Canis lupus familiaris: one gene and its partner. The protein of the gene in region 1 purifies or fractionates together with the protein of each later gene. This does not show direct contact. Links are inferred from orthologs where the notes say so. Each region holds a gene or a part of one and is shown in the gene's direction. Other genes may lie near its edges.

Region 1 (3,569 bases):
TAAAGGCAGAAGGGACTTTAGAGGAATCATTTAAGGAATCACTAGGACTTTAAGCAGAGGTGTTAATACTGAAAATACTGATTTTTGAATTTCAGCTCTTGCCTGGCTGGTTCTGTTTAAAGCATAAATGAGAAGGAACTTGGTTATTGGTCCAGAGAAACTAGCAGTGTGGTTAATAATGAGACCAAATAATCAAGCATTCGTTCGTTGTACCTCCTGAAACTCCTTATTAACACTATCACTATGAATATATAAAGGATTCTGACTCGTTGGAGTTTTTGGATAAGATAATCCGGAGAGCTCAAGATTAATTTCTGTTGCAGTTCAGAACCCTGAAGAAAAAGCTAGAAGAGGGAATGGTGTTCACAGAATATGAGCAGATTCCAAAGAAGAAGGCGAATGGCATTTTCAGCACAGCGGCTCTGCCAGAAAATGCCGAACGAAGCCGCATCCGAGAAGTTGTCCCCTATGAGGAGAACAGAGTAGAGCTGATCCCGACCAAAGAGAATAACACAGGTTACATTAATGCCTCCCATATCAAGGTAAGAAGGGAAGCGTGTTGGGGAGGCTTGTGGAAGATTGCTGGGTTAGAGGTGGAAAATGCAGAAAGGAAAAAATTGCACGGCTCCGACCCAGCATCTTGGCCTGTCCCCAGCCCCTGAGGGAGTGTTTTTGAACTCCCCTGATTCTTAGTCAACTGGAAGGGCATGCCTATCACTGCAGAGAGAAGGAAGCCCAGCAGCCTCAAGGAAAACCTCAGGTCAGCTATTTCTGAAGCCTGCTCACCACAGAGGATTTCACTCTATCTGTGTGAGTTGTAACTCTCCCTAACGCTCACAGGAAAAGCTGAGGATTGTCCCCTTTGGTTTATAATTAGCACATGATAGAGACTTTGGAAGTCACGGGCATTGTATTTCTCCTGTCGTTGAAGTTTTTATGATGTTCAAGAGCAACAGAAACTTACCAGTTCCCCCCTGCACTACTACAGGTTACGTGTTGTCCAAATTTACGTGTTATTTAGAAGAGTGGGCTCATTTCAACACAAGCCCTGGAGGTGTGGTTGATGATGAATCTTGCAAGATTTGCCACATCATTCACGGCATGAATACCATTCCATTTTTGTTAGTATTCCAGAGACTTCAAATTTTCATGTCTCAGGATTTCATCAACTTTAAAATTAGCTTAGGTCAAGCCCAGCTAGAACTTAGAGTTATAGATACGTGCATGTATGGTTAGCCGTTTCCTAAATGGCGTACCTTCCTCAGTCTTTAGAATGCCACTGTTTGTTCTAAACGTGGGAGAATCTATTCATATACTAATATTAAAGCAGTTATTACAGGATGTTTTTAAATAATACGCAGTTCACGTTAATAGTCTTTTTTGATCATAACCTTAGAAATCTGTTTCTGGCCTTGTTTGGAGTTACTCCCTTTCTTCATTGGACTTTCCAACTGGAGCTGAATTTTTGGTAGATTCCTTTGAGCTTCTAAAATATAGCCAGATGTCTGGTGCATGTTTCTGTTGTAACAGTTGCAGAACAGAATATGAAAAGAACACTGTGGATGAATGCAGGGTTTTTGTGCACAGAACCTAGATAGCTATATGTATATTGTTAACTACCAGAGAGTACGGTCAAAAAATGTGAAGGAATAACTAACATGGGTCATGCTGGGTATTTTAGTTTAACTTTGAGAGTGAGAACTAAAGCTATAAAAAATGAACCTCAGGAAACTCTCAAGTAAACTGACTATGGTCCATTTCCTGGGCTTAATTTAGATGAAATAATAACCAAAATAATGAATCAAACAAAGATACAAATCACACAGCTGCTCCTTGATAGGATGTCTTTGGAATCTTATATAGTTATATCGTACTATCTTCTTCTTTTGGCCAGATATCCTTCATCATTTTCCATCTGTTCTCTGGAAAAGCTGCCACTCTGCATCAAGTGTGCCCATTGGGTATTGTTAACAGAAGCATTCCCTTCCTCTGTATTCTCCGAGGCTTACATTTCATCTTGTGGATCAGGGTTAGACATGGGTGCATTTAATAGACCCATCGAGCTTGCAAGAACTTGTCCTTGTGTTTTTTGGAATAGAGTTGTATATCTTGCCAATGTTTTCTCCCTGGGTTCCAAGCAGCTATTAACACAGAGCAGAGATTGATTTGCTCCAGAGGTAGAATCATCACATCTGTGAAATCTACCTCAGTAGCATTGGTTGTTGTGTTTTTAATGCAGTTTTTAATGCCCTCCTGTCAATACTTGGAATTTGTCGAAAGGCCCCAGGCAGCCGCATACTCTGGAAGTATTTATGGTTCCTATATGTTGGGTGCCAGAGAGGCTAATGTTTAAAATCACAATTCCACAGATAAACGAAACTCCTAGCCAGCCAGCCAATATATGAATGTTATCTCCCACCAGTACTTGGAAAATGGATTTTGCTTGCCAGCTTTGACCTAAACATGTCTTCTGTAATGAGACAATAACTAACATTGTTTTTGTTGGAATCCAGTTAGTATATAGTTTTATAAAATAAATGAGGGGAAAAAAAATTCAAACAATGATCACTTCATGCTCCGAGAACTATCTAGAGATTTGCGCTGGTGGGTGTCTAAGGAGGCTTGACTTTGTAATAATGCCAAGGGACACAGGAATGGAAAGGAACACAGGAAGAGTGCCCCCCAAAGGGCACTACTTCACCCTGACAGTATGACCTTCAACACTTTGGGCACAACTTACTCGTGATTCTCTGCCACTAATATTTATAGCTGCAGAAGTAGCCTTCCAAGATCACCCGGAGCCGCATAGGGTAATAATTTTATTATCCAAAATCATCTCATGGCTCCACAGTTTGTTTGGATACTGTGGTACCACACAAGGGGAAGTTAATAATCAAATATCACGTATTGTTGATGTAAGTGCACCCCGCACACCTGTACCGTATGTGGCACCACAGAATAGCAGAAACAGCGGAGGTTAATGACACAGTTCCTAGCAGGTCACTGGTATAAAGACATCGCTTCCAAAAGGATGTTATTCCATGGTACACTTTGTTTTAGTTGTTTAAAGGGATACCAGCGAGTACTATGCCTCAAACTGTGGATCACAATATAATAGTGGAGTGTGAAGTCAATTTAGTGATCAGGACCAGTTTGAGTTTGTGTGTGTGTGTGTGTGTGTGTGTGAATGTAATTAAGGAAATAGACTAGGAGAAAAGAATAGAAATTATCAGAGTACATTGCACATCGTAAGCATAAGTCTTGCTTCTGTAACAAGTTCTGTTGGGTTATACACACCCATATGGTCATGTAATGTGTGTGTGTGTGTGTGTGTGTGTGTGTGTGTTTAACATGCACTGGTTTGTATATAATTACTGTAAATTACAGGAAAGAAAGATTGGGTGTATTTTAATAGGCTTGAGTGGCAAAAAGGTTTTTTTTTGTTTTTTTTGTTTTTGGCAAAAAGTATTTTTGTGTAAGAATGTGCCAGGGGCTTTTGAATAATGGCACTTAACCCATTTGGCCTAAAAAATATTATCCAGGGTTTGCAGGTAGATACAAACGGACCC
Region 2 (3,569 bases), on another chromosome or scaffold:
CCTCAGCGAATGTGCCCGGGAGCCGTTATATGAAGGAAGTACAGGTAAGTGGAGACCTTTGCTTGCAAGTTTTCCCCCTTAATTATTTTAAGAAGAATGGTGGGAGGGGTACTATTTCCATATAAACAAATTGTGCCAGCCGCCCCTCTCTGTGTGCTGCTTATTCGTTTTGGCTTCGTTTGAGAAGGGAGTTTTTTATTGATCTACCTGGACTGGACATTTTTTTCTTTATCAAATAAAAGTTACTTTCCCTGCTGAATAGATTCAATCATGAAGTGGCTATCCTAAACTGTCCAGAAACCCTCTGTCTGGTGGCAGCTGACTGGGAGCATGTTTTGTGGACGTACTTCATACTTCCACAAAGATTCTGTCTCTGAAATAGCAAGGCAAGAGAGAGGGGCTTTCTTTTTAAAGTTGGCCTAAAACAGATTAAAACCAAGGCAATTAGCATACCAGCTAATTAGTACCAGGGTTCAATGTTTAGATTGCTCAGGGAATTCTATATAAATACAATTTTTGTTTCATGCCAGACTCTCCCTTTCTGCCTAAAGTGAATTTGGAGAATGCTGGTTCCAATGTAGAAGTATTACCCTGCCATCTTCTGGCTGCATGACTAGTTGCAGCCCAGGAGAGCATGCAGCAGATCCAGTTCTTACTGCTGCCTTTGTATTCAGAGACAGAAATGGAGGGAGAGTTTCATCTTTTTTTTTTTTTTTTTTTTTTTTTAAGTCTGTATCCCTTTGCAAGGTGGATGCTTTCAATATATGACACGTGGTTGTCAAGAGAACAACATGGTACCCTTGCTGGCAGATGACCGTGGCTGTGGTCTGAGGGGGATGGTCTATTTGAGAGCTAGCCTGAAATGAAATGTGAAATAAAAGCTCCAGTCTGGTCCCCAGGAGCCCCGTTCAGATCTACGCACATCACTGTGTGTCCAGAACACAGAAGAGGCTGGTCCTCTTTAGAAGTATTTTCCTGCTGCTTTGAGAAGCCTATTTATTTTGTATTTCTGGTCCGAAGAATTCTATGTATTCACTGATTGGCCAATTTAGATGTTTAAAGTGATAGACAAATCTATCATGTTTGTGTGGTTTTGAATTTTGAATACTGAAGACCAAAACACCGCCTGCCAGCGGCCCGGAGCCCAAGGCAGAGGCAGGGCGCAGGAGACATGCGTGTGGTTCGTGTGGCACTGCCTAGAAGGTGCCACAGCTATAAGTAATGTGTCATCAAAATCATCAGCATCAAAGAAAATAAGCACAGGAGTAGTGTTTACTTAGTGGCTGTAGGAAAGCAGAAGCCGGTGGTGGGGCCTCCCGTCTGCCTCCAGGAAGGAGTGTGGTGTGCAGGGTGCAGTGGTGTGCGGTGCAGTGCGATGCTCCCTGCCCCAGGAGCCAGCCAAGTCCGCACTTTTACTTTGGTGCAAGCGAGCACGAGCACATCACCCAGGCTCTCAGCCTTGTTGTTTCTCCCCTGCAAAATGGGAGTGATAGAGTGTCTCCCTCGCAGAGGATTGGGAGCAGCGACGCCGTCACACATCAAGAGCATCTAACTGTGCCTGGCTCTCAGCATCAGTTCATGGAATTAGTACTACCGTACGATGAGAAGCAATACAAACTGTGCTAAGCCCAGTTGCTGCCACAAACCACTGAAATTCAAGGAAGTATGAATGAAGAAGCAAGAGGAGAAAGTGGAGCCCATATTTCTGGGCTCTGGACTTGAAGGATTTGAGCATTTCAAAGCTGTTTTCACTCTTTGTGTATTTGGAGCATTCTCCAGCGACCACTTCTCAACCACTTCTCAACCCTCGATCAGGAGGGGCTGCTCTGGGAGGCCGGCTGCTGGAGAAGAGGGAGACAAGCATAAGAATCGCCCCGGCCTGACCCCACCCGGGTGCTTGGGCCTCTGCCTGGCGGTAGCCTTTCTTCTGCCACTGGGTCTGCTGCTGCGCCCGAGAAGTCTGCCCAGAGCCCGGTGTCCCCAAAGCTTCCAGGATACAGCTTTTACCTTTCAGATGCATCTTATATTAATTAGAAAGCTGCTCCTAAAAAGTCACCCTAAAGGAATTCTATCCGAGAGCTTTATTTGGAAAGCGTATTGAGTGCCATGTGTAAAAACAACTAAAAGCATATATTTAACTGTAAAGACTAATCCCCTCAGTCAGAGCACCAGCACTCGGTGCGTTGGGGGGTGTCTGACCTCCACGTGGGGGCAGGTGGCCCAGCGTCGTGATGCCGCTCGCTCGTCTCCCTCAGCATTCTGGAGTCTTCCGCAGGCAAAGTCAACTTGCTTTATGTACATCCCGCTCTCTGGCGCCCGTCCCCGCTGGAGGACAGAGACCACGGAGGAATGACTACCAAGTCCTTCCAGTCAGTCTCTGTCATTGTCAAAGTCAATTTGAGCTGCCTCGGATATTCCTGGGGGTAATCAATAAATCATGTCATCACCTTCACCCCTCACAAAGGGGGGTGGGCGGAGAGAGGCACTTCATCATCAAGGAAAAAGCATTCCCACTGCCAGAAATAAAAGGGAAAATGCAGCAATCAATCCTGTAATCTGAAGCCTTAAAACTTAAACATCTTAACAAGATGTAAAGTCACGACTCAGAAGGGGGGCGAAATGCATACCAATCCTGATCCCTGCTCACTTGCTGGAGGATGAAAGAACTCGGCAGGCTCGCAGCTTATTACATAGGAACGCAGCTTTAAATGAATGCTCCTTGCTCACCGCAGGATGCAGTGTATGAATATGAGTTAGAGATAAAAGTTAAGTGGTAGTTGGTGCTAAAGATTCAGTAGCACGAAGTTTTTCTTTTCTTTTTTTTTTTAATGGTATTAGCTGGTGAGGAATTCTATATAAGTCAAAGACTTTTTTTTCTTTGACTCTGTTAAGTGTGGTAGCATGGGAGATGTAGAATATGGCATGTGGAGAGAAGGGGAAGCAAAAGAGGCGGAAACCTTTCTTGCCATTGAGTAGCTAGATGCTCTCTTTTACAGAAATATCTTTCATAGTTGAGGGACGCAGCTAGCTCCTTGCCACCGAGCGTTTGGTAACTACAGGGAATCCCTAACAGAGAGAGCAAGGGGCCAGTGGGAATGTGTGTCATTTATACTTTCCCTTCAGATATTTCAGGACGGAGAGAAATCACATTGTTTCTCAAACGGTGACCAAAATAACTGGCATCCCAGGAACTTCTGTAAGTCGTGATGCCTTGAATCAGCCACATGAGTTGACTCAAACCGTAACCTCCTCGATTCTCAGATGGAAATGTTTTTGGCTCTCTCACAACCAAACCACGTGTGTATTTTTGTACCTAACTTTTCCTAATTATGAATCCTAATTAGTACGCTCCCTCTCCCCTCCCTAGATGTGGAAAAATCATTACCAAAAAGAAGAGTAATCCACTTGCTTGGGGAGAAGACAGCTTGTGTGTCGGCTGCCGTGTCTGATGAGTCTGTGGCTGGAGACAGTGGGGTCTACGAGGCTTTCGTGAAACAGTAAGGACTCGCAGGAGTGCTTTTCGGTTACACCGAATCTCCTCCTAGCTGTGTGGGTGGGCTCTAGCCTAT

Evidence for each region.
Region 2: the proteins of PTPN14 (region 1) and WWC2 purify together in Homo sapiens (affinity purification with mass spectrometry, with the first as the bait; 3 studies listed by BioGRID). This does not show direct contact. The link is inferred for Canis lupus familiaris from reciprocal best matches to the Homo sapiens genes PTPN14 and WWC2.

What each region holds. Positions count from the first base shown.
Region 1 is NC_049228.1:12,217,299-12,220,867, reverse strand, and holds part of PTPN14 (tyrosine-protein phosphatase non-receptor type 14), read left to right. Parts: intron 1-323; coding exon 324-542; intron 543-3,569. UniProt on the Homo sapiens protein: Protein tyrosine phosphatase which may play a role in the regulation of lymphangiogenesis, cell-cell adhesion, cell-matrix adhesion, cell migration, cell growth and also regulates TGF-beta gene expression, thereby modulating epithelial-mesenchymal transition.
Region 2 is NC_049237.1:48,002,664-48,006,232, reverse strand, and holds part of WWC2 (protein WWC2), read left to right. Parts: coding exon 1-44; intron 45-3,367; coding exon 3,368-3,497; intron 3,498-3,569. UniProt on the Homo sapiens protein: Regulator of the Hippo signaling pathway, also known as the Salvador-Warts-Hippo (SWH) pathway.